Rhinolophus ferrumequinum: one gene and its partners. The protein of the gene in region 1 interacts with the protein of each later gene in a pairwise test. Links are inferred from orthologs where the notes say so. Each region holds a gene or a part of one and is shown in the gene's direction. Other genes may lie near its edges. The genes, in order: CEP76, CABP5, SALL2 and NHLRC2.

Region 1 (7,738 bases):
ACATTTTGGGGTAAATTGGGCCAATGTGAATATGGACAAGGTATAGAAAGCTAATATTGTGAAATGTGATATTTTAGCTATGTAAGAAAATGTTCTTAAATGATAAGTGATACATACTTACACATTTGGAGGTGAAGTGTCATGATATCTACAATTTATTTCAAAATATCTCATCTTAAAAAAGAATAAAATGGATTAAAGAACTATACCAATTGACGTGCTGTCAGTTTGTGTTAATGGAAATCCACTGGGTCTTCCACTAGAGTGAAGCTGCATTAGCAGGGGGCATGGTGCTTAAGAGGCAGGTCTCAAGGGCCAGAGTGCCTTGATTAGAAGTTCAGTTACACCAATTATTAATCATGTGACCTTAACTTCTCTGTGCAATGGTTGCCTCATCTATAAAACTACCTACGGAGTATTTGTGAGGATTAAATTAGTACATGTAAATACACATAGTATTCAACTTATAGGTAATAATAAATGGCAACTGTTATCATTAGTTGAAATATATAAATTGTAGTGCTAATATTTTTAGTCCTTTATTCTTTAAGGCAATAACTGAAATTCCATCTTTTATTAATAAAGCCATCTTTCCTGCAGAAATTTCAATATTATTTCTTGAAAGTGTATTTCATTATCACAAGCTAACAACATGGTTAATAAGACAGACAAAAAACAAAATACTTCTTTGTCTTTCAATCCACCACTAAATGGTTTTTCACGCTCCTCTATCACCTGCATGAATGGTTTTTCATGCTCCTCTATCAGCTCTGGCTATGACCTTAAAATGGTGAAAGAAGACTAAGGCCAACAGAGGAGTTGGCCATCAAACAAAGCAACTAGCTGCTCATGATCAACAGCTTTCCCCTTACTCAGCAATTCCACATTATAAATAAACAGTAATCAGTGCAATATAAAATGTGTTCCAATTAATCAAGCCTGATAGTCCAATGAGAATTATGGCACTTTATGGCATGGGAAAAGCCTACACTACAGCATTAGGCAACTCAATCTCTCCAAGCACTACTGATACTACAGTATCGTGGATTCCATAATAATGTGAGAGGATGACTGAAGCTTAGATGAGGTAGCACAAAACACATAGGACTGAGCTCAGTGAAATTCTCTTTTCCCCTTCCCTGGTATTAGTGATGCTTACCCATGTTTGCTACAAAAGCGTATCTGCAGAGTCTATGTCTAATTTAAAACAACTCTACTTTGTAGTAGAATACAATATACGGAGGTCATACATACCTTCAGCATTTATACTGAGTTCTGTTGAATTTTCTTCTGACGTTGCATATGGATTGTTTCCAACCATTGGCACAAGACAATCAGTATAGAAGTAACCAATCTTACACATATTCAGTGTAGAAATAATCAGATCTATTGCAAGTTGGCCAACATTTCCAACGGATACTGCTGGCTGAAATCATTTTAAAGAGTGTTTATTAAGGCATTGGCATTAGCAGCACTTTAAAGTTTGGACAGAAGACAATAATCACAGCACTAGTATTGAATGTTATGTTCAGGCGCATCATAGCTACCCTGTTTTCCTGAAAATAAGACCTAGCCGGACAATCAGCTCTAATGCGTCTTTCAGAGCAAAAATACAGTAGTACCTTGGTTTTCAAACACTGACGAACATTTCGGTTTATGAACGCCGTAAACCCAGAAGCAAATGCTTCAGTTTTTGAACATGCCTTGAAAGTTGAACATGTCACGCAGCTTCCGCTGAGTGCAACATCCTGAGGCCTAGCTGTTGGCTGTTTTCGAACGTTTCAGAACTCCAACGGTCTTCCAGAGCGATCACATTCAAAAACCGAGGTACCGCTGTATGAGATCCGGTACCTCGGATCTCATATCCTATCATATCATATCCTATCATATCATATCTGGTCTTATATTATAGTAAAATAAGGCCAGGTTTTATATCAATTTTTGCTCCAAAAGACACGTTAGAGCTGATTGTCCAGTTAGATCTTATTTTCAGGGAAACATGGTACATATTGACTCTCCTGTAGTTGCAAGCAAGGTACCAGCAGGGACCTCCTCCACCTTTGAGACTACAGATTTAACACTTACTGAACACCTACTATATGTCAATCGTTGCTCTAGGCACTGGGAATGTAAATCAAAAGTTCCTGCCTTTGTAAAGCTTCCATTCTAGGGAGAGTAGTTTACCTGCAGTAAACAAACAAACAAAAAAAAACCCCAGTAAAATATACAGTGTTAAGTGCAGTGGAGAAAAATTAAAGGACTGTCAGTGTGTGTGTATATGTTTGGCTGCAATTTTAAATAGGGTGGTCAAGAAAAGAATTGCTTTATAGACCTGAAAGAGATAAAGGAGGGCAGTGAGGTAGGAACAAAAGTGATGTTGGGGCCTCTTTCTGTTTGCTTTATTAGCGCCTAAATGTTGGAGTGAGCTTATTTTCACACTAAAAACACCACACACACACACACACACACCCCATGACTTCAAATAGTCCAACTGCCAAATCTGTAGCTACAGCCTGGAATACTCATCTAAACTCCAGAGCCTAATGTGTATCTCCACATGATTATGTCACAGGTAACTCACATCCAACATGTACAAAATTAAACTTTTGCCCAAAATTGTCCTCATATTTTGTATTTCAGAAAAGAGAAACAATTATTGAGCCAATTACCTAAACCAGGACACTTTTTCCTTTTCCTTTACCAACCATACCTAACGCACATCTAAATTTTATTGATTCTATTTTTTTTTCCTGGCCTTTGCATACTTTTCTGCGTCCTTCAGAGTGGTCTCCCACTTCTCATTGCTGTCATTGATTGCTGGTTATCCACTGTAATCCCCTTTCCCTTCTCAACGATTTTGCTACTTTCGTTAGATCCTCACTTTCCTGTATCATCTATCTTTTCCTCACTACTGGATTCTTCCCATCAGCATATACACATACTCTAATATCTTTCCTTGTAAAAAACCGTCTCTTGATCCCACACACTCCCCTAGCTACCACCTCACTTCCAGGTGTCCTTCCATAGCCAAAATTCCCCACGGTTGTCCACTAAAACATAAGCAGGAACTTTAGCTCTGAATTAATGAACAAATATATACGTATACACGTCTCCACCTCTTCCCCATTTATTCAACCCACTTTAATATGCTTCCCTCTTCACTGTTCCACTGATAACTTTTTTAAGGTTACCACCAATAATCTTTTAGACATTACTTTCTCTATGAAGCTTTTCTTTTTCATTTTTTTCTCCAGGTAGCTCCTGCAAAGGTACTTTTTCCATTTTGAGATTAATAAATATTTTTCAGGGAGATACTGTGAAATTATGGAAAATTCCCTTCCTCAAACACTATCGCACACTAATTTTGGCATTCATTGATATTTCATGCATTACAATGAAAACGGACCAAAAGTCATTTTTCTATTACCATCATTCTTTTTTGACATATAACACTGTATCACTTTTAGATACATAACATGATTGATATATGTATATACTGTGAAATGATTACCACAATAAGTTTAGTTAATATCCATCACCACAGTTACAATTTCTTATTGTGATAAAAACTTTTAATATCTACTCTCTTAGCAAACTGAAGGTTTGTACCTTTTGACTACTTCACCCATTTCACCCAACCACCCTTCCACTCTACCTCTCCAATTGTTCTCTGTAATCTATGAGTTTGGTGTTTTTTTCTTTCTTTCTATTTTTTTTTTTCTTTCTTTCTATTTTTTTTTTTTTTAAGATTCCACATATGACGCTTTGAACAGAGCCATGTGTCCCTCCCCCAATAAGTCCTAAGGCCTTTCTGTATCTTTTTAAAACTTCTATCCTAGCATATATTGCCTTTATTGATTTACGTGTTTCCTATTAGACTGTAAACTCTTTGAGAACATGGGCCTAGTGTTATTCTAATATCGTCACATCATAGAATGTTTATTGAAACAATGAATTAATATGGACAATTTTAAGAGCGATAGAACCATATGTTAGCTACTGGCAAAAGTTGCCTTGTTACTCTATTGTAATGTTCTGGTTAATGACTGACTTGCTAGCTTAAGAATGACGCTAAAACTAGTTGAAAAAAGATTTTCTAGTATAAAAAGCAAAGAGAACGTCCCGCACCACATATGTACAACGTATCGGTAACATCAAACACATTACGTTGTACAGTCAACAAAGACCACAAACTGGAGACTTAGATACAAGGTTTGGTGATAGCGCCAACAAAGGTTCTATTTGGACCGCCGCCTCCAGCGACAACCTCTCTACATTTTCGGCGCAGGCTTAAAACTCGAAATAGAAACAAGTACTCGCTTTCTCACAGGGCCGGACGAAAAATCCCGAGTTGGGGTGGCGGTACCGCAGGCGCCTCCCGAGAGGTAGCAGCCTCAAGCCAGTTCGCGAAATTGGAGACTCACCATCAGGAGGGTGAAACCCGCGAGATCCGGGACCGACTCTCCGTAGGGAACAAACATGGTCGCACTGCAGTGGGAAGAAGGAGATGAGTGCCGGCCTGGGAAGAACCGGGGCGGCGAGAAAGCGAGAACCACGAGCTCTCAAGGTCTGCACGCTCGAGCCCCTAGAACCCCGCGCGACCCGGGCAGGGCGGGGCCAGGCGGACTGGGTCCTTCGAGCCCTCGGCGCGAGGTCCTGAGAGGCTCGTCCACGTATCTGCCGTTCCAGAAAACAGAAAGGGACCTCGAGGGAGGGAGAAATGGGAGCGGAGAGCGCGCATCCAGAGACACTAGCAAGGCAAGGAGTTTGGCTGAGCTGAGGTCACGAGGTGGGGACCCCGAGGGAAGAGGAGTGGGTGGAGTTGACCAGGCAGAGCGGGGGACAGCTCCGAGGCCTGGTTGTCCGCTGCCGTTTGAAAACGACAGTTGGGCGCCGCCGCAGCCACGTCCCCGCCTCACGCTCAGCGCCGGGCTTGATGCGGCGTCGCGCCCCCGCGGGAGCTGCGCGAGGAAAGTGGTCGCGCCGGCTCTGTGCTCACCCCACACTGACGTTCTGGGGCCGGCTGGGGCACCTGAAGCGAAGGGAATCCGTGTTGAGGCGCCAGCCCCAGCATGTCGCTGCCTCCGGAGAAAGCCTCTGAGCTGAAGCAGCTTATCCACCAGCAGCTGAGCAAGGTGAGGGGCCGCGGGCGCTCTTCCCGCCAGTGGCCCCAAGTGTCCAGCTTTGTGTCCCTTGTCCCGGCCGACTGTGGCACCTGTTTGCTGGGGACTCAAGCAAAGGCTGTGAGACGCAGAGCGTGGGATGTGCAAAGCTTCGGGTTTGAAGCCAGAGGAACTGTCTAGGCTCGATAATGAGAACGAGCTCAGAAAGTGCTAGTAAGAGTCTGAGGTGATAGAACGGCGTTAGTATTATGGGACAGTTGTGAAAATGAAGCGTGTACCAATGACTTCTGGAAGTCATATCGAGTATAAGTTGTGTTTGGAGCAGGTTTATATTCAAAGGTCAGAAATTAGAATTAATTTAAGGGTGGAACTTCAGGTGTCATTGATATTGAACCAAATTGACAATTCTTAAAGAAGTTATGAAAGAATTTAGTAAGGATTTGTAATGAAAGCATTTGTGATACTTCAGAGCTCAAGAAGAACATTGTATCTTTGAGGTGCTCAACTGAATGCAATTAAGCTGAAGTAATAAAACCTACCGTTTATTGTGCACTCGGATGCCAGGCTTTGTACTAAGTGTTTAGCGTCTTTTATCTGAGCCTCACAATAACCTTGACGGCACTATTTTTTCCAGATTCATAAAAGGTAAATAAGTTAACTCAAGATCACATCTAATAAGTTGTAAGGTGAAAGTCATACTTTGATCCCCTCCCCTCGGTCTGTGTTCTTTTGATTATACTATACTCTTTCTCCAAAGATTGTTTTGGTTGAATGTTATTTGTGGGGAAATAGTAACAAAAGTAGTAGATAACCAGTAGAGATTATTTCTAGAATTTGTAGTATAAGTTTTCATTTAAAAAAATTTTTTTTCCTTTTAAAAATCTCGCCTTTATTATCTTTGAATTCTGGTAACAATTTTACATTTATTATTTGTTTGAGAAGCCTTCCCGATTTTAGTGTACTCTCCTATTATTCTTTTCTTTGTCAGTATTTTAGAAAGAAATGAACTAAGTGGCAATATTTGTCTGCTTTGTAATGTGAATTGTAATGTGAGTTTTCTACGTAGATGGATGTCCATGGCAGAATAAGAGAAATCCTTGCTGAGACAATACGGGAAGAATTAGCACCTGATCAACAACAGTTATCAACAGAAGATTTGATCAAAGCTCTTAGACGTCGTGGAATCATTGACGATGTGATGAAAGAACTTAATTTTGTTACTGTGAGTAAGCTTGTAGAGGAGAAAATCTGAGAGTCTAAGCATATTTTGGGGCCTCTTCTTTTAGTAAAACCACTTCAAAATATGGTAGCTTTGCCTAGTAATATCCTTGTTTCAAGTATAAACTAATTCTACAATTGAATGTAGATTCAATGTAGGATTATGTATCAATGAAATTGTACATATATACCATTCTTCTCTCTCTACAGTGACAGAATTTTCTCCTGTTATTCTCTAAGTCTGTAACTTTAAGTATATATATTTTAGTCAAACATAACCTAGTTGTTTTTCACTAATATTCTATAATTTTAAAAATTAGGCTTATTTTTAAAATAAACACTCGGGACAATATTATCTATGATTAAGAAATTATCAATTCCTTTAAGAAAATAATTGTCTGCATAAGAATCTTTAAAGCTTTTCAGACAAATAGGTCAGTAATGGAATGATAGCCTCCCTCTCAGTGTACAAATTAGTAAGTAGGCCTTTTGAAAATGAGGCAATAATGAGAAATTGTGACCTCAATACCTGGGAAATATAATGTAGAATTTGGATGGACTTCATAGTACACCAGGGGATAAGTATTTTAATACAGCCTCGTTTTTTTGGTTTTTGAGGTTTGTAAACCCATTTGGTATAAAAATTGACCTAATAACAGTTTCTGCTGTGTGTGAATATCACTTCCTTATTAAAATCAGTTCATGGTACAATCATAAGCCAAATGTTATATGAGGTTTAGAGAAAGTTTGACCTTGTTTGAGGTATTAAGGATTTTTTTTTAGCATTCTGTGGACATTGCTTGAAGACAGTTTAGTTCCTTAACATTAAACTGTAGGACTGACTAGTTGCATCACCTTTTTTGCAGGCTTTTCATTATTTGAACTGTTTGAGGAAAATAAGGGGCTTTATTCTATCTTCTTTTGGTTTGGTTCTTAGTTCCATTATTGGCATTTCTTAATTATAATTTTTGTTTTCTGATTTGTATTTTTCTGCCTTTCTAGGACAGTGTTGATCAAGAACTTCCTTCCTCTCCAAAACAATCAGTTTGTTTTACTGATAAACAATCAACGTTGTTAAAAAAAAGTATGTGTATTTCTTTTTAACCTTAATTTACTTGTGGATAGTACTGTGAATAGACGTGCTGTAGTGTTTGGTATTTGATAGAAAACACTTCAATTTTTTTTTCCAGAATGAAATACTTATATTTTTGTGACTAATCCAAAAAGCTTCAATTCTGTTTTGCATGATATCAGAAGATTTAATGTATAGCAAAGTGGAAGCAAAAATAGGACCGCCTGTTTCTCATGTTTTAGTAATATATTTTATAAAAATTTTACAACTGTGTTTTTTTAGTGGCTATGTAATTATCTCACAAGTACACTTTGCTGAGTTGAGA
Region 2 (7,410 bases), on another chromosome or scaffold:
TGGTGGTTCAGTGCTCAGTACCAGCTGAAGGATCAGGGAAAACTTGCCCTGTGACAGCACTAGGACAGCTCTCCTGCAGGAGAGTGGGAAATCTCACATTTAATCTTCCTTTGAGATCTCTTCTGATCCTTCAAAATCTAGCATGCGCTTCTCTGGTGAAAAGTGGACATCCATTTAAAGGTGGATCTCATATTTTTGAATCTCATTTCTTTTTTTGAAATTTCTCACTCGTGCTCTACCTTAGTCAGAGTCCTGGGTAACAAGTGATGGGAGCAGCGTGTATCAAGCCTTATGTGCAGCAGGCACTGCTAATAAGCACATCACTTGTGTACACTTATTTACTCCTCACAAAAATACTGAACAGCCCCATTTTACAGATGGGGAAATAGAGCCCCAGGGAGGTCGGGTAACAAACTGGTGCCGGGTCTCACGGCTCCTAGGAGTTGGGAGCTGGGATTTGAACCCCAGTCTGGTTCCAGAATCCACTCCCTGACTCGGCTGTTCTGCCTCTCAGCCCTCATATTAATAACAGCTATCGCAGCTGGCATGTCTTAAGCACTTATGCACCAGGGACGGTCCCAAGCTCTTTATTGCCTATTTATTAGGTTGGCGCAAAAGTCATTGCTGTTTAAAAGGTTAGAAACAATTGCAAAAACAGCAATGACTTTTGCACCAACCTACACAACAACCCATCGCTTAGCCCCACTGTGGAAACAGGCCAGAGGTACGGGAGCAGGGGCACGTTGACGGGAGGACTGCGGTCCTATCATTCCCCCCCCCCCCAGGTGGACAGTGAGAAGGGGATCTCCCTTCGCTTTCCTCGGTTTATTCGCATCCGTGAGGACAAGAAGCCGGAGGAGGCCACCACCAGTGCCCAGGTGCGGCCCTCGGAAGCGGGGGAGGGCTCACCCAGGGGCAGCTTGCATGGCCGGACCCGCTCCCTGGAGAGGTGGATTGGCATGGAGCGGTGGGGTGGGCAGCCCCGGGATTCTGACTCCCCCCTCCCCTCTCAGGTGGCCTATCTTGTACAGGAAGCAAAGTCAGATTCAGAAGCAGCACAGTGCAGACTCCGACTCCGACCCGGAGGGTTTTTCTACTAGGCCCCGCCCTCCCGGGGGACTCAAGAGGGCGCCGCCAAGGCTAAGCACATCCGGTGTGCGGTCACGTGTGTGTGTGTGTGTGTGTGTGTGTGTGTGTGTGTGTGTGGTTCGTTTCAGCGGGGGCCTGGGATTCATCTGGTTATGTTTTTCAATAAATAATTATTGATCACCTGCTCAGCGTCAAGGGTCCGTGCGGGCTCTGGGCTCCTCTCTCATAGCTCCCACTTTGGTAGCGTGTGGCAGTGTGCCAGGAACTGCTGAAAGCAGCGCTTTCCAACAGAACTTTCTGCAGTGATGGAATGTTCCACCTCCGCTCTGTGCAGCGTGACAGCCACGAGCCCCTGGGGCTGGCAAGTATGTGAAATGTGGCCGGTGACTGAGAACCCGCTATTCCATTTATTTTTAGTTAAATTTCTCTTCAGTAGCCCCATGTGTGGTGGCTGTTGGATGGTGGCAGTCTCAACTTCGTATGTACATGCATTCATGTAACCTCCCCACGACCTAACCAGATAGGCACTGTCACAGCCCAGGACGGCAGGGGCTCACCCCGGCCGCAGCTGGGGGTGCCAGCGCCAGGGGTCTGACGCAGCAGTCTGGCTCCAGCCCCACAGCTGTCGGGTTCAGGCTCCATGCTCTTGGGAGACAGCGCAGCGACTTGTGTGAGACTCCCAGCTCTGCCCCCCACCAACTGGTGGCGAGGCCTGACCTCAGAATCCCCAGAAGTGTTCCGGACCTGCCCCTGAGGGGCAGGCAGTGGCCGATGTGTCTTGTTCATCCTTATATTCCCCAGCCCCTAGCGCGGTGCCTGTCATGTGGTTGGTACTATTTTTCCCGATCAAAAAGGAGACTTGGTGGTGGCAGCCCTTCCCTTCTTCCTGCCCCGACTATGGATATGATGGTTGGAGCTGGGGCTGCCAGCTTGTGATCATGAGAACCAAGCCTGGAGAGTCACAGACAAAGTAGCCCTGACAAACCTTTAACCAGTGAACCAAGGGCAGCAGTTGGCTAACTGGGCTTGTCATGGGGGTGGAAGGGAAGGGTGATTATGCCACTGTTAAAATGGCTTGTGTTTCTCAGCTAAAAGCTTTCCTAACTGAAAGAGCTCTGCCTTAGAGGACTGGCAAATTAATGTGCTTCCATATTTATGAAGTTCAAATAATATGTTTAAGGCAAAACAATACTCGTTTGATTAGATGTTAAATATTGCATGTCTGGGAATCCCCGTGGTTCCCTTAGGTGTGGAACTGGGTCTCCTGATGAAAGCTGGGCCTGGGACACGCTCTTCCCACAGCCCTGCAGGGCCCCTGCAAACACACCTCCCCAAGCAGCCATGGCTACCATGTCCCCTCTGCCAGGGCGGGGCAAGGACGTCCTCATTCACAAAGGACCCTCATGACAGCCCCATGTGGGTATTTTTGTTATCCCATTTACCAGATGAAGCACAGGAATATAAGTCACTGCCTAGGAAATGGAGGACCAGAGTCTGAGCACAGCGGTCTGCAGAAGGCCCTACCTTTTGCCACTAACTATAGTGACTTGAGATCCTCGTGGGCCCCTGCAAGGATGTGATACCTTATCTCCAGGCAGGGAGGTGACACAGGAAGGCCTGGGAGTGAAAGGTCACGCTGATGGCTGGAGTACACGGATTCTGCAGAGATGACCCTGGTGTTGCCGGGAGCACAGACTATCCCCTTGGTGAAATCCTTTTCTTTATAACGATTGTCGAAAGCCATCAAGGGAAATGATGCTTGGACCTGGCTCCGGGCAAAGTACGCAAGAAGGAGGTTTGCAGGAGCAATAATTCATAATTGCATATGAATCAAAGTGCATAAGTTTGATTTGTCGCATTACTCGTGTTCATTTTAATCATTTGAGAAAGAGTTACTGCCTGGTTTCCTCCCCACTATAAAGTGACTCCTTTGAAATTAGTATAAAGGAGGTACTGTACTTTGAGCCATGCAAATATTACCAGACTTTTCCCTTTATGTGTGTATGGACTCCTGGTTTCCTGTCCTATGTAATTTGTTATTATTTATTTTGATTTTCAAATGTGGTCCCTGATATGGCCAGTGGCACTTCAAGTTGACCTCTGTGTCCTTCTGACATGTCCCCATCGCTCTTTGAGCACGTTTGCTTTATGGCACCACAGGGTGTTCTAGGCTCATCTTACACTTGTCCTGTTCCAGACATGGAACCAGCAGTTCTCCTAGGAGTCTTGGTTCTTTTTCTCCGGAGAATGGTATTTAGAAGTCAAGATCTGGATGCGAGGGGTGCTCATTGTATCAGGGTCTCACAGCTTCTGTGTCCTCTTGGAGAGCTGGACCACGGACGGTCACGTGTCCCTGCACAGGCAGTGACAGCTGTGTTCGTTTTTATCCCTCTCTCTATACCGAAGTCCATGGTGACACACCCGTGCCTCCAGTTCCAGCCCAACACCACAGAGCTCATTCGACTTTGTCCCTTTTATATTCACTCCCTTTTCCAACAGTGACAGCCCTGATGCCCGTTGTCCTTAATATACTCCCCACAGATAAGCAATCTCCCTCCTGCGTTGTCATCGCACCCCTGTGGGGACGCCTTTCTCGCCCTGATCTGGCTTCAGCACCCTATGCATGCTGCCTCCGTGAGTGGGCGTCTTCAGGACAAACCCCCACCCTAGGCGACCACACCTACGTAGGGATGCCCTCCTCACTGAGCTCATGCTGTCACATCCACGGGTTCACCCTCACCTTCCCAGGCCCCCACGGTGAGCCGAGCGGCCCCTCTCTGTGGGACTCCTGCCTCACTCCACCACCGCTTTTTGAAATCGGGCTCCCCAAACTGATGGTCCCCAGTCCCCTCCCCAACCAGCCCCCAGTGTGGACACCCTCATCGCCTCCTTGGGCTCGGATATCACATGACTTCTCACCCTCCCCTACCCCCGCACCCGCATGGACGCCTGTCTTGCTCCTCTCCCTGAAGTAGGAAGAGATGAGCAAGGAAGAACAAATACCACTTCCTTAACCTCCCTGCCGTCTTCCTTCCTGAAGTCAGGTTGTCTCGGAGGTCCCGTGTCCTGCTCCTGGGCACGCGCTCCTGTCTTACGCAAAAGCTCCTGGAGGTCAGGGGCCGTGCCCGCTCCATCTTCACACGCCCAAGGGCCAGCAGAGGCCAGGCTTCGAGCGAGCACTCAACGTGCCCTGGGCTCGAAGCCCCACTTTTGAAACTATCCAATTCCATTCTGGGGATAAAAAAGGTCAGAGCCGGAAACCAGCTCCCCCTCCCGTCCCACTCAAACCAGATGGGGAGGCAGGAAGCGCTCTGATCCCTCTCCAACCCCAGTGGAGATTTCCAACCCAGCTGTCACAGCTCCATGACACGAGCACCAAGGGAGAGGCTGAGAGGCAGGAAGAGTTGGCAAAGAAGTGATAGAGAAGAGAAGGAGGCTGAGTCACCAAGGGGACGGGAAGGAGGGGGGCCAGCTTGAGACCGGTGCCTGGTGAGCTCTGCCCTGCCCCTCCATGCAGTTCCCCGTGGGCCCTGCCTGCATCTTCTTGAGAAAAGGCATCGCTGAGAAACAGAAGGTGAGGTTGGGGACAGTGGGAAGGATGGCGGGCAGGGCAAAGGGAGCTGGGATGTGGGAAAAGAAGGGGCATGACGGGTGCAATGCAACAAGGGGGACAGGTGGGGAGGGCACGAGCTGAGAAGGTAGAATTCCAAGGGACATGGTGAGGACGTGGGTCAGTGAAATGGGTGAGGGTGAAATTGGAAGTCAGGAGCAAAATGGGGGAGGTGAAGGGGAGAAAAAAAGGAAAACTGGGATGACGTCATTATTGACGGGCATCATGATTTGTTTTCTGTGGACACCTATAGTCGTGATGATGATGACACTAGCTGCCACTTATTAAGTCACTGCTCTGTGCCCAGCCCTGTGTAAAGGGTTTGCATTCCTGATGTCATTTAATTGTCAGAACTTGTAAGGGTGGTAATACTTTCATTCCCATTTTACAGATGTGGAAACAGGCTCTGAGTCATGAAGTGACTTGCTTTAAGCTTGTGCAATTAGTAAGTGGCAGAGCCAGTTCTGTTTGATTTCAGTGGGCATGCGTTTAATTGTTAGGCTTTAGATCATCCCCCCCAATAAAATAAAATAAATAAGGGAGGGAGGGGATTTAGGGTGAAGGGAATAATAAGCTAGGGGAAAGGTTCCAAGGATAAAGGCAGATAAGGGGTGAAAGGGACCAGAGGTTGGTGGAATTTCCCAGGTGATGTGCCTTGTAGCCAAGCCTGACCCTTCAGGCATATGCAGGAGTGGGTGGAGGCAACAATAACTGGAAATTCTTGAAGGTTTTAGGCATCGGTCATGCTGGCACCCATCATCCTGGATGCCACTGGACACTGGTCCCTCACAAAGGGATTCTAACTCTTGGCAGAAAGGATGGAGGCGGGTGGGAAAAGTCGTTGGGGTGTAATAGAAAGAATTCTGACCTGGGAGTCCGGAGCCCTGAATTCAAATCCCAGTGTTCCCTGGGCCTGGCTTGCTGTACAGCCTCGGGGGAGCGATTTAACGTCACTTAGGAGCTGTGTGACCTTGGGCAGGTTCCTTAACCTCTCTGTCCCTCAGTTTCCTCTTAAATAAGTTGGGAATGATATGTGGATTGGCCTCACAGAGCGGTTCTGAAATTTAAATGAAATGATTGCGGAGGCTGCCTGGCACCGAGTCAGCATTCTGAACACATTAGCTGTGATTGTGAGTCTCCCTTTCTTCCTCTGGAGATCAGTTCCATGGCCTATAAGACCACTTCCCACACAATGGGATGGATGTCAAGATTCAAAGATGGGAGAGAGGAAATGAGAGGGGTGAGGAAGAGGGAGAGAAGCAAACAGCTGTGAAATGAGAGTCAGGAGATGGAAGGAAGAAGAGATGGGTAGAGGGAAGCAAGAATGAGAGAAGAAACAAGAAGGGGTGAGGAGTAGCTTGGGAAAATGTGGGGACGTGTTGAGATTGGATGTTGGAACCTGACCTTCTCTCCAAATTCTCTCTCCCCTGCATTCCTCTCCAGGAAAGACCACTGGGACAAGATGAGATTGAAGGTAACACTTTCTCCCCCCAAATGTCCCCACTTCGCCATCCACTCACTTGTCTGCTCTCTGTCTCTTTGTGCATTTCAGTGTCAGTCCCCTCAGATGAAAATTGTACTTCGCTCTCTTTTTCCACTTAACTGTGATTTTGTGGAACTCTTTCTCATGGCAGTGTCGGTACCTCCCAAAGTGTTTAGAAGGCATACCCATCCCCAAGTGTCTCAGAGACCCAGGAGCGACACATGAGTTTTAGAATGTTAGTTTTTTCTTTTGATGGTTTCAAAGTTTCCTATAACTTCACCCAAGAATTGGAAGGACTTCCGTGCTATCATTTGGTGGTCTCAGGAATCATTGCTCTTGCTAACATATTTCATTCATACATCGCTCCATTGAAATTTTTGTTTTTCAAAATGTATTCTGCTTTGAAAAGTCTCTAGTCTGTGCCTTGTTGATGGTTTCAAGGGATGCCGCTCTTCCTCACTGACTGTTTCAAGTTCCCCCAAAGTTCTTCCCTCTTCACTTTCAGAGCTCCGGGAGGCATTTCTTGAGTTCGACAAGGACCGAGATGGGTTCATCTCATGTAAGGATTTGGGGAATCTCATGAGGACAATGGGTTACATGCCCACGGAGATGGAACTGACTGAACTTGGCCAGCAGATCCGCATGAACTGTGAGGCCGGTGGGTGGGAGGGATGATTGGGGTTAGGGGATGGCTAAGGGTGGAATTGGGAAGGATCTAGGGTTGAGAATAGAGTTGGAGATAGGGAAGAGGGTCAGAGGGGCTGGAAGTCTAGAAGGAAACAGTTCAGAATATACTAGGGAGGCAGCAGTTGAAGTGGTTAAAAGAGTGACTTTTAAAGATAGATTTGAGTTCAATTCCCAGTTTTCTTATTTACTAATTGTGGTCATTTTGAAAAGTGGAGTTAACCCCCACTCTTGAGTCTCAGTTTCCCCATTTGTCAAGTGAAGATGATATCATACCTTATTTTGTGGGATTATAGAAGGGATAAAGATGATAATACAGGCAAAGGCTTAGCCTCCATAAAAGCTTAGTATTTGTTGATTATCATCACCAATAAGATTCATCAGTGGAGCACAAGATTGGAACTGCATTTGATGCTGGAAATAAACTTAGACTTGGAGCTAATGTTGATGAATAGTGTTGCAAAGAGAATGGATTTTTTTTTAGGTGGTGACCAAAGCTGATTTTGAGATGGGAGCTGGGATACAATTGCTATTGGGTTTGCTT
Region 3 (7,292 bases), on another chromosome or scaffold:
TACCCCTGAGTCAAAAAGAGAACCCTTCTGAGTGGATAGAAGTAACTCAGGCATGGTAGACAGAGCACCGAAGAAGGAAGCAGAAAATCTGGTTTTCAGTCTAGCTTGGACGTTGAAGCTATGTGTCCTTGGGCAAGTCCTTTCTTCTTCCAGGGCTTCAGCTTTGGCCTTTCCTTTAAATAATTATACTCATTGCTAATACTTGTGGAGTATTCACTATTCGTCAGGTATTATGTTAGGCCTTGTATGTATTGCCTCTTGTTTATTCCTCCCAAATTCCTATTATAACCTCCATTCCATTTTTAAAAAAACTTTTTATTGTGGTAAAGTATATATAAAAATTACCATTATAACTATTTTGAAATGTAAAATTCAGTGCCTTAAGTATATTTACAATGCTGTGCAACCATCACCACCATCCATATCCAGAACTCTTTCATCTTGCAAAACTGAAACTCTATACTCATTAAACAATAACTCCCCATTCCTCTCCCCCCACCCCCTGGCAACCACCATTTTCTATGAATTTATCAATTCTAGGTACCTCATATAATGGAAGCATATAATAATTTGTCCTTTTGTGTCTGGCTTATTTCACTTAGCATAATGTTTTCAAGGTTCATCCATGTTGTAGCATGTGTTAGCATTCATTCTTTATATGGCCACATCTCCATTTTAAAGATGAGAAATCCAAGCCTGAGATAGATTAAGAAACTTTCCCAAGGTCACGAAGATAAAGTGCTAGAACTGGGACTTTAACTCAGGTCTTTTTGATTCAGAGCTGGCACTCTCAGTCACTGTGCTCACTCAATGAAAGGGTCAGATCTCTCAAGTCCCTTCCAGCTCCAAAATAGTATGAATTTCATGTGAAGTTCTGAATCCTTTGATGTCAGAAAAATGTCCATTAAAACAAACAAACAAACTTTTTAATGTTTGATCGTAGATATTCCTATACTGGAAACAAATATATTTTTGTCACTTAGCACTGGATGTACAAATCATTGTGTCTGTTTGTCTACTGTATTGCACAGGCCGTGGGTGACAAAGGACTATGTATGTGTATTTAGGAGAGAGGAGTGGAAGAGAATATGGGATATTATCCCTTAGAAGTAGTCTACAACAGCAGTTACAAAATCAATTCATAATTATGGACACTACCAATTAGTGTTGGTCCAACATTAACAGTAAGTTTAGGCAGGTGTTTACATAATGTGTTTTGTTTCTTTAACGGCTGGAAAATGCTTGAACTCCGTGTAGAACAAAGCTTTTCATCTTACAATTAGAAATGTGGCTCAAGATGCACATTGGGAAATGCAATATAGTCCCTTATACTCACAGACAGGTGTAAATCATCAAATTCTGTTCATGGAAGCAGGATACAAGAGAGCTAAAGTGTGGCTGTAGACAGAGAAGAGAGGGAGCCTGACAGGAGGACTTCGCAGCAAGCAGCTCATTTTGCCTCTGCCCTAATTTTGGCTGGGTTGAGCATAGATAAGACTTGTGAGGAGCGGGGTGGAAGGTTTGATGGGAAGGGCTGTACTCTGATAGATACTATGGTTCTCATCCTTGGCTGGACAGTGGAATCTTCTGAGGAGCTTTACATACTGATGTCTGGGTCTCACCCTCTAGGATTCTGAATTAATTGATCTGGGGTGTGGCCTGGCCATCGGTATTTTTAAAAGCTTTCCTGGTAATTGTAATCGGCAGCAAAGTTTGAGAACTACTGTCTGACTAGACCACCCTGCTGGGCACTATCCCCCTATTTTCCTGTTTGTTCTCCCCAGTCATTCTCTCCCTAACCTAAAGCAGCAGTTTGGTGGGCCACTAGGTTTTCAAGAGCCACCTGGTTTCCTTTTCCCTTGTCATTTCTGCACTTTATAAATTTAAACAAGCATGTCCAGGTCTTAGTCCTACATCCATCCCAGATTTTGCATGTGACCCAGGATAGTTTACCTCACCTTATCTGCTATCTAGGGACACCATTACCAGCTTAGTTTATTCCAGTGTTTTTGACTTCATTTGTGTCTGCCTAAGAATCCTGCCCCCCTTTTCAGGATAGGCAGTGAGTGCAAAGTGCTGAGAAATAGAGGGTTCCTCTTACAGGTGGCTGTTGATCCGTCACCTTTCACCAGGGACTAAATTTACCTTAAAGAAGAGCTTAGATCAAATTACGCATCAGAAAGCAAGTTTCATTAAAGAGCAAGAAAGGGGACAGTGTTTCCCATGAGAAGATGAAAAGAAAAGGATTTCTTTTCTTGTCGGAAGACTTGACAAAACAGCAACTTGATATCAAATGTTCAATGCTAATTAACAAATGCTCAGTAGAAAGCTTCCATCTGATTCCCTCGCCCTTACTCAGGCCAGAGAGCAAATGACAGGTAGGAACCACACAGGGCCCTTTCTCTAGCATTAGGAAGTCACAGTGTAGGTGTGCTTCAGAAAGCACTGGACCGGAGTCAAAATTCTGAATGCTTCCTTCACTCAATTACTGTGCGGACTTGGGAAAGTCACTTAACTTCTCCACGCTTATATTTCCGTATGTGTAAAAATCCACAACATTGCACTAACCTGTGACTTGCCATAATTACAATAGGTCCTCCATGCCCTCACTGTAAGGGTCAGGCCTGGAGCTCATCTGTTTCAGAGTCATCATTCACAATGTTAAGATCCTTATGATTATCTGAAGTTTCAAAGCATAAGTCAGTAAAATGTTTTTAATTTAAAAAGATAGCAAAATTTATGTTGAAAAGTGAAGTGGATGTTCCTAATACTGGCTTGTTTCAGCTCCCTCCGAAAAAGACTCCCTACCCTTGCCAACATCTTACCTCAGAAATTAGTAAGATTAATAAGCAATATGACAAACATCTAATTTTAGTATATGTGTATTTCAGTTTATTTTGATTGTCTTGCCACTGACAATGTAAATTTTCTAATCCATTATATTTGGGACTCCCCCCAAAATTTAAAGTCCCATATGTACATACTAATATTGTGAAGAGTTTTTCAAGTTTTTGTCCCTATAATATTTCTCTGGGGAAGATAGCACAGCTACAATATTACCATTTTACAAAAAGGGCAATGGTGGCATAGTGTGCTCTGACTGATCACCATGCCTCAACTTACCAGCCAGGCAAGAATAGAACTGAGATTAGAACAACATGGGTTTACTGGTGCCCAGGAAAACCACCAAACTAAGGACTTGTGGTTACCTCCTGTAAGTAAAAGAAAGTATTTTTATGAAGTGGGAAATCCATTAAGATTCATTTCAAGGTAGAACGGAAATGCAGAGTACCTGGTCTCTGAATAGGAGGTGGCCTCAATAGGAGGTGGCTGTCAGCAGGTTTTAAGTTATGTCTAGGTATTCAAACCAGGTTGGAGCTGAAAGGAGCTGTAGACACAGGCTGCCTGGAAGCTCCTGCTGCATTTCCCCCATTGTTTCAGGAGGATCTCCCCTCCCCCAAGGTTAGAGCTAGGTGGGCCTCTGGAGGCTAGCATCTCCCCAAGGCCAACTGTCCTTAATAGTGACAGTGTGTGTCCATAAGAGAAGGACAATGAAGGAAGAAGGGTGGAGAAGTGGGTTCTAAATAGAAGATGGCTCCTTAAATAAGCATGAACTCTATAAGTTATGTGTGGGGTGGGTGATCTGTGGAGTAACTTGCATTCAGCTCTTATTCTGGAGGAGGAGGGGCCCTGAGTAAAGGGACTTGCAGAGTGGAGTCCAGAAATGACTTCCTTGGAAATTCTACCTTCCAGCCTCCCACCCGAAGAAACTTCTTTGGGGGATAGAAGGGGCGGTCTGTGTAAGGTTAGGGTGGGAATGGAGGTGAAGAAGACAGGACAAAACTTGGGGTGTATGGGGGTGTTAATGAGGGGTGGATGTTCGGGGCTTCCCTTCTGGCTCTCTCCTCCGAGATCGGACCGCCCTCTCTGGAGAGCATGTTTTACAGGCTCAGCGGATCCTTTATCCAAAGAAAAATAGGAGAAGCCTGTCGCTTTGCTCTGCTGAGCAGGGTTGTGTTTCCCCCTTTGCCCCCTTGAGCTCCCTGGCTGGGCAGGCCTGGGCAAAGACATCTGGAGATAGGGGGAGCTGGCAGAGAGCAAGGAAAGATGGACCCCCACCACACCCCACAGCACCTGTCACTGAGCCTCGGTAAACCCTCCTAGGCCCTGGGTTCCCGCCCCAAACATCCCCCTCCCCTCCCGCCTCCCTCCCCAGCAGCTCCTCCGCACAAACTCCCCTCCCCAGCAGCTCCTCCCCCATCTCCCCTCTCCCTGCTTTCTCGCTCTGGCTCCTCCCTCCTCTGTGCCTCCTCGATCCCCTCCCCCTCCTCCGCGGCTCCCTGCCCCCGCTGCCTCCACCGATCTCCATCTCTGCAGACTGGGCCGCTGGGTACGACGCTGCCGCATCCCCGGCGGCCACCGCCGCCTCCCCCAATCCCCAAACCCATTGTCTCCCACTCCACCCAGCCCTCCACCTCCCCCACGACCATGGCGCACGAAGCCTTGAGAAGCTCTCTTCTCGGGGGTCCCTGCGGGGAGCCGGCGGAGCTTGGAGGTGCGGTAGGGCCCAGCCCGGGCAGGGGTGGGGGCCGAAGGGACGCGCAGGGGGAGGGGAGGAAGGACTTTCGGTGAAGGGGATCAAACGCACGGTTCTCTGCATAGGCCCTCTTCCTTGCGCCTGCCTGTGGCCCGGGTTTGGGCGGGGGAGAGCAGAGGAAGGCAGTAGCTTGCGCGTGCTCCCTCCCCCCCGTGCTGGGGTTCTCGTATCAAGGAGGGTCAGGACTGAGCTCTAGCCTTCCGCTTGGCCTGATGGTGAGCTCATCTCCCCACCCCCAACTAGCGGTTACTGGGCTCATTGTTAATTAGAGCCTCCGTATACCCATTCCAACCGCGCCACCCACGCTCTCTCCTTGTCTTCTCCCCAGGTGATGCTAGCGAGGAGGACCACCCCCAAGTCTGTGCCAAATGCTGCGCACAATTCACTGACCCAACTGAATTCCTCGCCCACCAGAATGCATGCTCTACTGACCCCCCTGTAATGGTGATAATTGGGGGCCAGGAGAACCCCAACAACTCTTCGACCTCTTCTGAACCCCGGCCTGAGGGCCACAACAGTCCCCAGGTCATGGACGCAGAGCACAGCAACCCCCCAGATTCTGGGTCCTCGGTGCCCACAGATCCCACCTGGGGCCCAGAGCGGAGAGGAGAGGAGTCTGCGGGGCATTTTCTGGTCGCTGCCACAGGTACAGCAGCTGGGGGAGGTGGGGGCCTGATCTTGGCCAGTCCCAAGCTGGGAGCAACCCCCTTACCTCCAGAATCCACCCCTGCACCCCCTCCTCCTCCACCGCCACCTCCGCCCCCAGGTGTAGGCAGCGGCCACTTGAACATCCCTCTGATCTTGGAAGAGCTCCGGGTGCTGCAGCAGCGGCAGATCCATCAGATGCAGATGACTGAGCAAATCTGCCGGCAGGTACTGCTGCTTGGATCCTTAGGCCAGACAGTGGGCGCCCCTGCCAGTCCCTCAGAGTTACCTGGGACAGGGACTGCCTCCTCCACCAAGCCCCTGCTTCCCCTCTTCAGCCCTATCAAGCCTGTCCAAACTGGCAAGACACTGGCACCTTCCTCCTCCACCTCCTCCTCCTCAGGGGCAGAAACACCCAAGCAGGCTTTCTTCCACCTTTATCATCCACTGGGGTCACAGCACCCTTTTTCTGCTGGAGGGGTTGGGCGAAGCCACAAGCCCACGCCTGCCCCCTCCCCAGCCCTGCCAGGCAGCACAGATCAGCTGATTGCCTCGCCTCATCTGGCATTCCCAGGCACCACGGGACTACTGGCAGCACAGTGTCTTGGGGCAGCCCGAGGCCTCGAGGCCGCTGCCTCCCCAGGGCTCCTGAAGCCAAAGAATGGAAGTGGTGAGCTGGGCTATGGGGAAGTGATGGGTCCCTTGGAGAAACCCGGTGGACGACACAAATGCCGCTTCTGTGCCAAAGTATTTGGCAGTGACAGTGCCCTGCAGATCCACCTGCGTTCACACACAGGTGAGAGGCCCTATAAATGTAATGTCTGTGGCAACCGCTTTACCACCCGCGGCAACCTCAAAGTGCATTTCCACCGTCATCGTGAGAAGTACCCACACGTGCAGATGAATCCTCACCCGGTGCCAGAGCACCTAGACTACGTCATCACCAGCAGCGGCCTGCCTTATGGTATGTCTGTGCCACCAGAGAAAGCTGAGGAGGAGGCAGCCATGCCAGGTGGAGGTGTGGAACGCAAGCCTCTGGTGGCCTCCACCACAGCACTCAGTGCCACAGAAAGCCTGACACTACTCTCCACTGGTGCAGGCACAGCCACAGCTCCTGCGCTCCCTGCTTTCAATAAGTTTGTGCTCATGAAAGCAGTAGAGCCAAAGAGTAAAGCTGATGAAAATACCCCTCCAGGGACTGAGGCCTCCGCCATCTCCGGGGTAGCAGAAAGTGGCACAGCAACCCGCATGCAGCTAAGTAAGCTGGTAACTTCACTACCCAGCTGGGCACTGCTTACCAACCACTTTAAATCCACTGGGAGCTTCCCCTTCCCCTATGTGCTAGAGCCCTTGGGGACCTCACCCTCTGAGACATCAAAGCTACAGCAACTGGTAGAAAAGATTGACCGACAGGGAGCTGTGGCAGTGGCCTCTACTGCCTCAGGAGCCCCCACCACCTCTGCCCCTGCAGCTTCATCCTCAGCCTCATCCGGACCTAACCAGTGTGTCATCTGCCTCCGGGTGCTAAGCTGTCCTCGAGCACTGCGCCTGCATTATGGCCAACATGGAGGTGAGCGGCCCTTCAAATGCAAAGTGTGTGGCAGAGCCTTCTCCACACGAGGCAATCTGCGTGCACATTTTGTGGGCCACAAGGCCAGCCCAGCTGCCCGGGCTCAGAACTCCTGCCCCATCTGCCAGAAGAAGTTCACCAACGCTGTTACTCTGCAGCAGCATGTTCGGATGCACCTGGGGGGCCAAATCCCCAACGGTAGTACCACATTCCCCGAAGGCGGGGGAGCTGCCCAGGAGAATGGCTCTGAGCAGTCTACAGTCTCTGGAGCAGGGAGTTTCCCTCAGCAGCCATCCCAGCCATCCCCAGAAGAGGAATTGTCTGAAGAGGAGGAAGAGGACGAGGAAGAAGACGAAGATGTAACCGATGAAGATTCTCTGGTAGGAAGAGGTTCAGAGAGTGGAGGTGAGAAGGCAATATCAGTGCGAGGTGATTCGGAAGAAGCATCTGGGGCAGAGGAGGAAGTGGGGACAGTGGTGG
Region 4 (7,845 bases), on another chromosome or scaffold:
TTGAGGCCTTGGGACAATAACTATCTTTATGCAAATCAAAAGCTCAGCATAAAATAACAGTAGTACAGTATGGTTTTGCAAGGTGCTAGTTATTATTTTCAAATCAAATACTCTTAAATTTCTTTTCAAATAATCTTTTCGCAAAAAAATTTTTAAGACTAACACGTTTGTCCCCGCTAAGTAACTCTCACAAATATGAGCTTCAAAATCCATGTATGCTTGCATTACGTATTTCATAATCATGTGCTACAAACTGACACCATCTGTGTCACTATTTGTTGAAAAGGAAATATTTTTATTTGTTTCAGCTGGAAACTGAGATTTTCTTAGACACTGTGTCACCAAGAAGTGATCAGCTGATACATTTTGTAAGTTCTCAGTTTGTTTCTGATTTGGATAACATCCTTCCTCAAGACTACAAAGAAAGCTTGAATTAGTCTCACTGAAACTACCAGCTGACCCAGGTGATGGACTGCTGAAAGGACCATTACTCGCCCTGCTTTGAGCTAGCAGGAGGTGAGTATATCTCTTGTAATGAGAAGGAATTGTTGAGGTACACAGAAGACCATCAGGACACTCTGAAAATTTTAATAAAGAAAGAAGTATTATAGGATCAAAACACAGACGAAGCTTTAACAGCATTAGCACTATAAATTAACACATAAGTAGAAAGTCATCAGCCCTACTTGAGGCCTTGGGACAATAACTATCTTTATGCAAATCAAAAGCTCAGCATAAAATAACAGTAGTACAGTATGGTTTTGCAAGGTGCTAGTTATTATTTTCAAATCAAATACTCTTAAATTTCTTTTCAAATAATCTTTTCGCAAAAAAAATTTTAAGACTAACACGTTTGTCCCCGCTAAGTAACTCTCACAAATATGAGCTTCAAAATCCATGTATGCTTGCATTACGTATTTCATAATCATGTGCTACAAACTGACACCATCTGTGTCACTATTTGTTGAAAAGGAAATATTTTTATTTGTTTCAGCTGGAAACTGAGATTTTCTTAGACACTGTGTCACCAAGAAGTGATCAGCTGATACATTTTGTAAGTTCTCAGTTTGTTTCTGATTTGGATAACATCCTTCCTCAAGACTACAAAGAAAGCTTGAATTAGTCTCACTGAAACTACCAGCTGACCCAGGTGATGGACTGCTGAAAGGACCATTACTCGCCCTGCTTTGAGCTAGCAGGAGGTGAGTATATCTCTTGTAATGAGAAGGAATTGTTGAGGTACACAGAAGACCATCAGGACACTCTGAAAATTTTAATAAAGAAAGAAGTATTATAGGATCAAAACACAGACGAAGCTTTAACAGCATTAGCACTATAAATTAACACATAAGTAGAAAGTCATCAGCCCTACTTGAGGCCTTGGGACAATAACTATCTTTATGCAAATCAAAAGCTCAGCATAAAATAACAGTAGTACAGTATGGTTTTGCAAGGTGCTAGTTATTATTTTCAAATCAAATACTCTTAAATTTCTTTTCAAATAATCTTTTCGCAAAAAAATTTTTAAGACTAACACGTTTGTCCCCGCTAAGTAACTCTCACAAATATGAGCTTCAAAATCCATGTATGCTTGCATTACGTATTTCATAATCATGTGCTACAAACTGACACCATCTGTGTCACTAGTTCACTATTGCTCAGACAATAAAAAATAAAGAAGACTGGTATATCTCTCACACATATGTTTATCTTACCAAGCAACAGATTTATGACAATTGTACCAAATCAGATTTCATTATTTATTTAACATTCTCACTGTATACAATAACAACAATCTTAATTATAGTTGCCCATACCCTGGATAATTTAGATTCTGTTCTAAGATGTGAAATTCAATTTGATAAACTGGTTAATAATAAGGCTTTAATAATCTGAAAACCATTCCCTATCATACCATTATGATGGAGAAACATTCTGTAAACCATCTTGGCATATCCCCTTGTATTTTCATTTCTAGGTTTATAAAAAAAAATGATCTCCCCCCCCCAAAAAAAAAGATGTTACATTAAATTAGAAGACTTCATTGCTTAAAACTTAACTTAAAACCACTTCCTAGAAGTATTTGTTATAGAACAGAGTTGAATTCAAGATGAGTTCATCTGAGATTCTGTACAAAGGAGTTTCGTCAGGAAAAAAGAAAAATCTCTTTGAGGTGGCTTTATCTATAAAATATTTGACCCTGAGGTGGTCACCATGGGACTCCAACTTCCACTTCTGGTATTCAAACCACTTAAAAGCAAATTACTAGCATTTGATGAGGCTACCACTCGCTATACTTGTATAAGAAAGGCTAATGCCAAATTTTAAAAAGAGTTCTTTTGCATCTTCATGCAGAACTTTAAAATGATAACTAGAGGTTAATAATGAAATGTCTTGTGAATCATATTTAACATGAAAGCCATACTGAGTATTATTTTTATTTTACTGAATTTTAATTCTTTGAGATTTAAAAATCTATGTATGGTATATATAACTTTAAAATATACAAATCATCATAAACCATTCTCCGTATACTCCAAGTTGGATTTTCTACATATTAAACATGACATTAATTATATATTTTAAAAGATAAAAACTTAGCATTACTTCAGTTACCAACTGACACATTCTTACTAGAATCTTCATAACCTAAGAGTCCCAGTTCCTCTTTCTGTACATTAGCATGATGAATCCACATAACTATATTTAGAAGACTGGACTATACTCTTAATTCTCTAAAAGTCTGTTTCATAAAAAATAACAAAATGGGCAAGTTGTTTAACTTTTAAGAAGCCACATCTATAAAATGTCAATACCACCTACCTTGTGCGATCGTCGTGACAGTCAAGTCAACAGAGTGAATGTATCTAGGATAGTATGTGCCCAATTAACATTTATGAAAAATAATTGAGATGTTTAGGGACTTTCATGAAACAAAATGCATTTAAACTATTTTTAAGTTTGCAACATTCTTTATAATTATACCATCAACTGTTATCTTTTTATCCTTCTTAAGAGTCAATTAATTACCTTGTTTGCCTCTAGGGTCATTTATACTTAACAGTGTCTCATCTCTCTTGGTTTATTGGTGGCCTTGCTTGTGTCACTGGACTGATATGTCTGGCCTAATATAGGCCTATTTAAAGACCACCATCTTTTTTGTAATCTTACCTGTTTCAGAGACTGATGGAGAATCCAAACACTCAAAAACATGCCATCGAGGTGTTTGACCTAGCAATGAGGAAAAAGGCATCTGGCAATTTGGACAGTAGCCATCATAAACTGTGCGTATCTTCGGAGACACTTGTTTGTTTTTGGGAGTCCTACTCTGCTTTCTTGGAGTGGTCTCCTTGCCTTGGGACGGCTGGATACCATCTCCACAACTAGAATTCTGACTAGAAGCTACAGAAGTCTGATTATCTGATGCTCCAAGGCACATTTCAGGGTCCTTTATCTTCTCTTTTGCTTCCACAGTTCTTTTATTTCTGTTTCGTTTGGACTGTTTCTTTCCATCTGTTGCTTTTCCAACAGGTTTTGGAATATTCTCAGAGCAATTATTTGGATGTATTCGTTTTACTTTCCTTTTGGATTTGTATTCCCAGATGTCTTCTTCCAAAAAAGTATCTTCTGACATGGCAAAAATGATTTCTATCATTCAAGAAGCACTAATCTTTATTACATTGAGAGTCTATTTCTTGTTACAAAATTTTTAAATGGAATTTTTTTGCTGAGAAAAAGCTTAACAAAAACCCCACTAACTTCATGGGAATCGAAAACTCTGGTAATGAATATATTGGCAAACTACAAACCTTATAGGTGAGAACACCTGCTGTTTCATTTATACCACAATAAAATTAAGATAACCTACCCCAGGGGTAGCATCTCAGAAGTTTTCTATTTTGGCTACTATTTCATTCAGATACCTCGGCCTCTTCCATGACTCGATTCAAAAAAATAAGAATCAGTAATACTTTGAAAATTAAGTACTGACAATCTCAGAACAAGCTTCGTAAAATTGTTATAAAGCTCCTATTCTCTTTCAACTGGACAACTGCCCAAATAATTCACAGTCCCTGGACAACTGGCTCAGCAGGTGTTCTGAGCAGTAAAATGGCTACCTCAGTTTCTAATTAACACAGTCACTCCACAATCCAAGTGTGTGCTTCTCAATAAACGTAATTGCTCTTCTCCGTGACTCGTTGATATTCAACAACTTCAGTTTCCTGGGTCAGGCCAACATCTTCCTCCAGCAGCAATGAACAAACACTGCACAATAAACAAAATTCAAATGTGTGAAGTCATGCCTGCACTGAGGCCCCACTCCTAAGTCCAGACACCACAGAGGCGGTCTGCCTGGAGGTGGCCAGCCCTTTCTCCACCAGCCTCAAAACCAAGGTTCACCTGCCCGACGCCTCCCAAGGTCTCTGCCTTCTCTTTGGACACAGGAGACAGCGAGGACAGAGTGGGGTCTTACCCGTCCAGGGCAGGGAGCGAATGAGCTGCTAACACAGCCGCTCCGTAAAAGCAATCACAGCCCTGCCCTGCTAAAGGCAGAAGCCCAGCGCTCGGAGAGCCTCGCATCCGCCCACCTGCCAGCAGCACCCCCAGGGAACAGCTCCAGCTGCGTCCGCTCCCCTCAGCGACCCCCCTCCTCCAGCTCTGCTACAAATCTCTTCTCGCCCGCACTTTCAGCACCTGCAGAGCGATGAAATAATGCATTTGTGTATAAGCCAAAGCCATCGGCCAGTCACCCCCAACTTTAAAAAGCCTTTCCCTTAAGGATATCCCTACTCCTTTACCTTTCTTGCCTTGGCGGGAACTGCTTCCCCCGCCAGTGCTGTGTCGAATCGGCTGGTCCCGGTCTAACAGCCAGGCTTTATACAGGCCGAAAAAAACCCACAAAAAAACCCGTGCCCGTTTTTAAGTCCTACGGATTTATTTTTTTGTTCTAAAACCCATTAATTTCCAAAGTGAAAGGTGGGGGGACAGTACTCTTAGAGCTTCTAGAACGCTAACCCCGAGGCCTTTTCGTGTTGAATCTGGCGTTCTGAATGTCCAGGCTCGGCTGTGGCGAGAAGATACAGAAGGGGCGGGGTGGTTTGGGGCGGTAGTTTAATTCCGTGCCCGGGAATTGCGGCGATTTGTAGTATTTTAGCATTTGAATGCATGCTTACGAAAGAAAAAAGTATCGTTAGTGTGGACTGGGCCTGGTGGAGGGAGTACGGTGAAAGTGACGTTTTGAAACCAAAGGACAGTAAACGCTTCTTCTCTTCCCAAACGAGCCTGCCCCGCGGGCCCGGCGGCCGCCTCTGTACTGTCCGGAGAGAACATGGCGGCCCCCGGAACCCGGAGCTGCAGCCTCTCGGGCCTGCTCCCGGCTCAGACCTCGTTGGAGTACGCCCTGCTCGACGCCGTCACCCAGGAGGAGAAGAATAACCTGGTCTACCAGTATCTGCAGAAGGTGGACGGCTGGGAGCAGGACTTACTAGTGCCCGAGTTCCCGGAAGGTGAGGGGCTGGCTTCGGGGTGGGGACCCCTCCCGGAACCTCCCCTTCCTCAGGGACAGTGCCCTCCCCTGAAGCGGTGGGCGAGGCGGGGGTGGGTCGCTGCACCCGGGCTGGCGCTTTGCCCAACTTCAGCGGCGGCTCTGCAATTCCCAGGTGTCCTCCGGAGGGTGGGGACCTGCATTTTCGTCCCTATATCCCGAGTCCCATCCAGGACTTGGGTTAACTAAGTAGACATTCCATGGATGTTTAGTGGCCCCAGTTGGCAATGACTGAAATGTCGACGCCACCCTGTTCTTTCAGTCTGGTTGCTCAACATGGTCATTGTCCTCATCTTTCATCATCCTAGCTGGCATTTATTGATCACTTATTTAGTGATCACTTATGTGGTACACAGTTCTAAACACCGAAGGGCTATTGTTTATCTTATTTAATCCTCTCTACCCATTGAGGAACTCATTATTAGCCCTATTTTACAGTTGAGGAAACTGAGGCCCTGGGAGGGTAAGTCATTTGCCCAGGGCCTAACAACCAATATCTGCCAGAGTCGGATTATAGAGACCCCAGATTGGCCGGTTTCTTCCTTGTGCCACACTTCGCCGTGAATCCATTGTGGCCCATCTCCACGGTTTGAATCCCGGCTGGCTCTGTACGTTTTGGGAACGTGAGGGAACTGATATGCCCGGCAGTGCTATTTGTGAAGCACATCTTGCTATGATAAATGAAACCCTACTTTACCTTCTTTGGTTGGGACTGTCATTGTGTTGCCTGGTGCTGTTGGCATGTCTCCTGGCATGACACTGAAACCACATGTATAGTTAATTGGTTGGATGTGGCAGGGTTCAGTATCTAACGGGAGGTATATGGGAACCTTACCTCTGACAACAGTCTTGTATGTCTTTTCCAAGCCTTTTGCTTCCACCTTGAAAAGTGCTTATTTTTTTCTATTATTAATCCTATCCTGGATTTGAAAGTTTGTGGAATTCCTACAAAAGAATTGGGTGCATGAGTGCTTATCAAGGAAACTTTAAAAGATTGTATATATATGTGCACATTTTTAAAAAACTTTGTGAGAAGTTAGTTATATAGTATACTGTTATAAAAAAGCAGGTCATCAGCTAGGATTTGGGCCAATGTTTTTATTTTCTAGTCTTGTTTGTATTGACAGTGAGTGTATTTTATTACCATGATATTTGACCTCTGTGACTGGTAAATAATGTTACAAAATATTCAGGCTTTGTATTTGACAACGGGAAATTTTCTGCTGGACCTAATTATTGAGGACAGAATACTAGAGATGAGTTTTTTCTTGGTTTCTTTATCAATAAACTGTAATCAAGAAGTCATAAACATAACGCTATCTCAAAAACAGTATGCTTTGTTCATTTCTTAAACACGTTTATGGGAACCAGAGTGGTATAGTGGATAGATTCAGAGAGACCTGAGATTAAATCCCAAGTGATTCCATTTGTTAGCTGCATGATTTTGAGCAAGTTACTTCTCCAAGCCTACTTTGCTCACTTAGAAAAAGGAATGAGTATTTATTTTTCAAGTTTATTATGTGGATTGGAGTTAATATACCTAAAGTTCTTAGTTCAAAGGAGAGCTCCGTAAGTCTTAGCAGCTTTTAAAATTATATTCACTGTAATTATAATTTTAAAACTTATTATTAAACCTGATAAGCGCCTAACACAACAACTGACATATAATAATACTTTCCCTGCCCCCATCTAAGTCGCTGTTGACTATTTACAGAAAATAAATTTAGAAGACAGATTCATAAGTATTTTGTAATTAGGATGTAAAATATACATTAATTAATTTGAAGTTTTATATGATCACTTGACCTGGTATACAATTAACCTGGTATCCCCTTTATTAAAGTGGATAACTAAGAGTTCACTGTACCCTAAAACCTCACTAGGTTGGATTGGCAGAAATGTTAGTTTCATTTGCAGATTTTTTTAGAATTTTGTTATAATTGAGTAATTCCAGTTACTGTTATTAGTCATTAGCTGTTATTAAGCAATTGTTCCACCCAACTCTGGCTTTCAGTTTCTATAAAATATTTCCAAATATCTGTTTCAATGTATAATTAAATATTGTATGTCAACTGTACTTTCAAAAAGGTATAATTGTTTTAGTAGCTACTTTTATTTTCTTGTATCAAACTCATTATGGTTCCTTTCTTAAATTTGTTGAATGAAGATGCTGTACCTTTACTATTAGTTTAACAAAATCTTCATAGTGCATAATTAAAATTGTAAATCATGGTCAAGTGGTTATAAATTGTGATTTGCAAAAGTACAGATTAATGAGATTTTATTTTTCTTTGTAGGGA

The links.
Region 2: the proteins of CEP76 (region 1) and CABP5 interact in binary tests that used the Homo sapiens proteins (3 or more experiments, as listed by UniProt). The link is inferred for Rhinolophus ferrumequinum from reciprocal best matches to the Homo sapiens genes CEP76 and CABP5.
Region 3: the proteins of CEP76 (region 1) and SALL2 interact in binary tests that used the Homo sapiens proteins (3 or more experiments, as listed by UniProt). The two-hybrid records come from large-scale screens. The link is inferred for Rhinolophus ferrumequinum from reciprocal best matches to the Homo sapiens genes CEP76 and SALL2.
Region 4: the proteins of CEP76 (region 1) and NHLRC2 interact in binary tests that used the Homo sapiens proteins (3 or more experiments, as listed by UniProt). The two-hybrid records come from large-scale screens. The link is inferred for Rhinolophus ferrumequinum from reciprocal best matches to the Homo sapiens genes CEP76 and NHLRC2.

What each region holds. Positions count from the first base shown.
Region 1 is NC_046302.1:5,540,047-5,547,784, forward strand, and holds the start of CEP76 (centrosomal protein of 76 kDa), read left to right. Parts: upstream 1-4,731; 5' UTR 4,732-5,072; coding exon 5,073-5,135; intron 5,136-6,189; coding exon 6,190-6,345; intron 6,346-7,028; exon of another isoform or gene 7,029-7,070; coding exon of another isoform or gene 7,071-7,103; intron 7,104-7,343; coding exon 7,344-7,425; intron 7,426-7,738. Other genes in the region: PSMG2 (proteasome assembly chaperone 2), read right to left, coding at 1,255-1,426, 4,425-4,481. UniProt on the Homo sapiens protein: Centrosomal protein involved in regulation of centriole duplication. Required to limit centriole duplication to once per cell cycle by preventing centriole reduplication.
Region 2 is NC_046298.1:43,778,917-43,786,326, reverse strand, and holds the start of CABP5 (calcium-binding protein 5), read left to right. Parts: upstream 1-4,409; 5' UTR 4,410-4,600; coding exon 4,601-4,663; intron 4,664-6,142; coding exon 6,143-6,173; intron 6,174-6,687; coding exon 6,688-6,831; intron 6,832-7,410. UniProt on the Homo sapiens protein: Inhibits calcium-dependent inactivation of L-type calcium channel and shifts voltage dependence of activation to more depolarized membrane potentials. Involved in the transmission of light signals.
Region 3 is NC_046289.1:72,328,824-72,336,115, reverse strand, and holds the start of SALL2 (sal-like protein 2), read left to right. Parts: upstream 1-4,292; 5' UTR 4,293-4,488; coding exon 4,489-4,555; intron 4,556-4,925; coding exon 4,926-7,292. UniProt on the Homo sapiens protein: Probable transcription factor that plays a role in eye development before, during, and after optic fissure closure.
Region 4 is NC_046299.1:14,139,218-14,147,062, reverse strand, and holds the start of NHLRC2 (NHL repeat-containing protein 2), read left to right. Parts: upstream 1-4,834; 5' UTR 4,835-5,329; coding exon 5,330-5,507; intron 5,508-7,845. Other genes in the region: DCLRE1A (DNA cross-link repair 1A protein), read right to left, coding at 3,172-3,655. UniProt on the Homo sapiens protein: Required for normal embryonic development.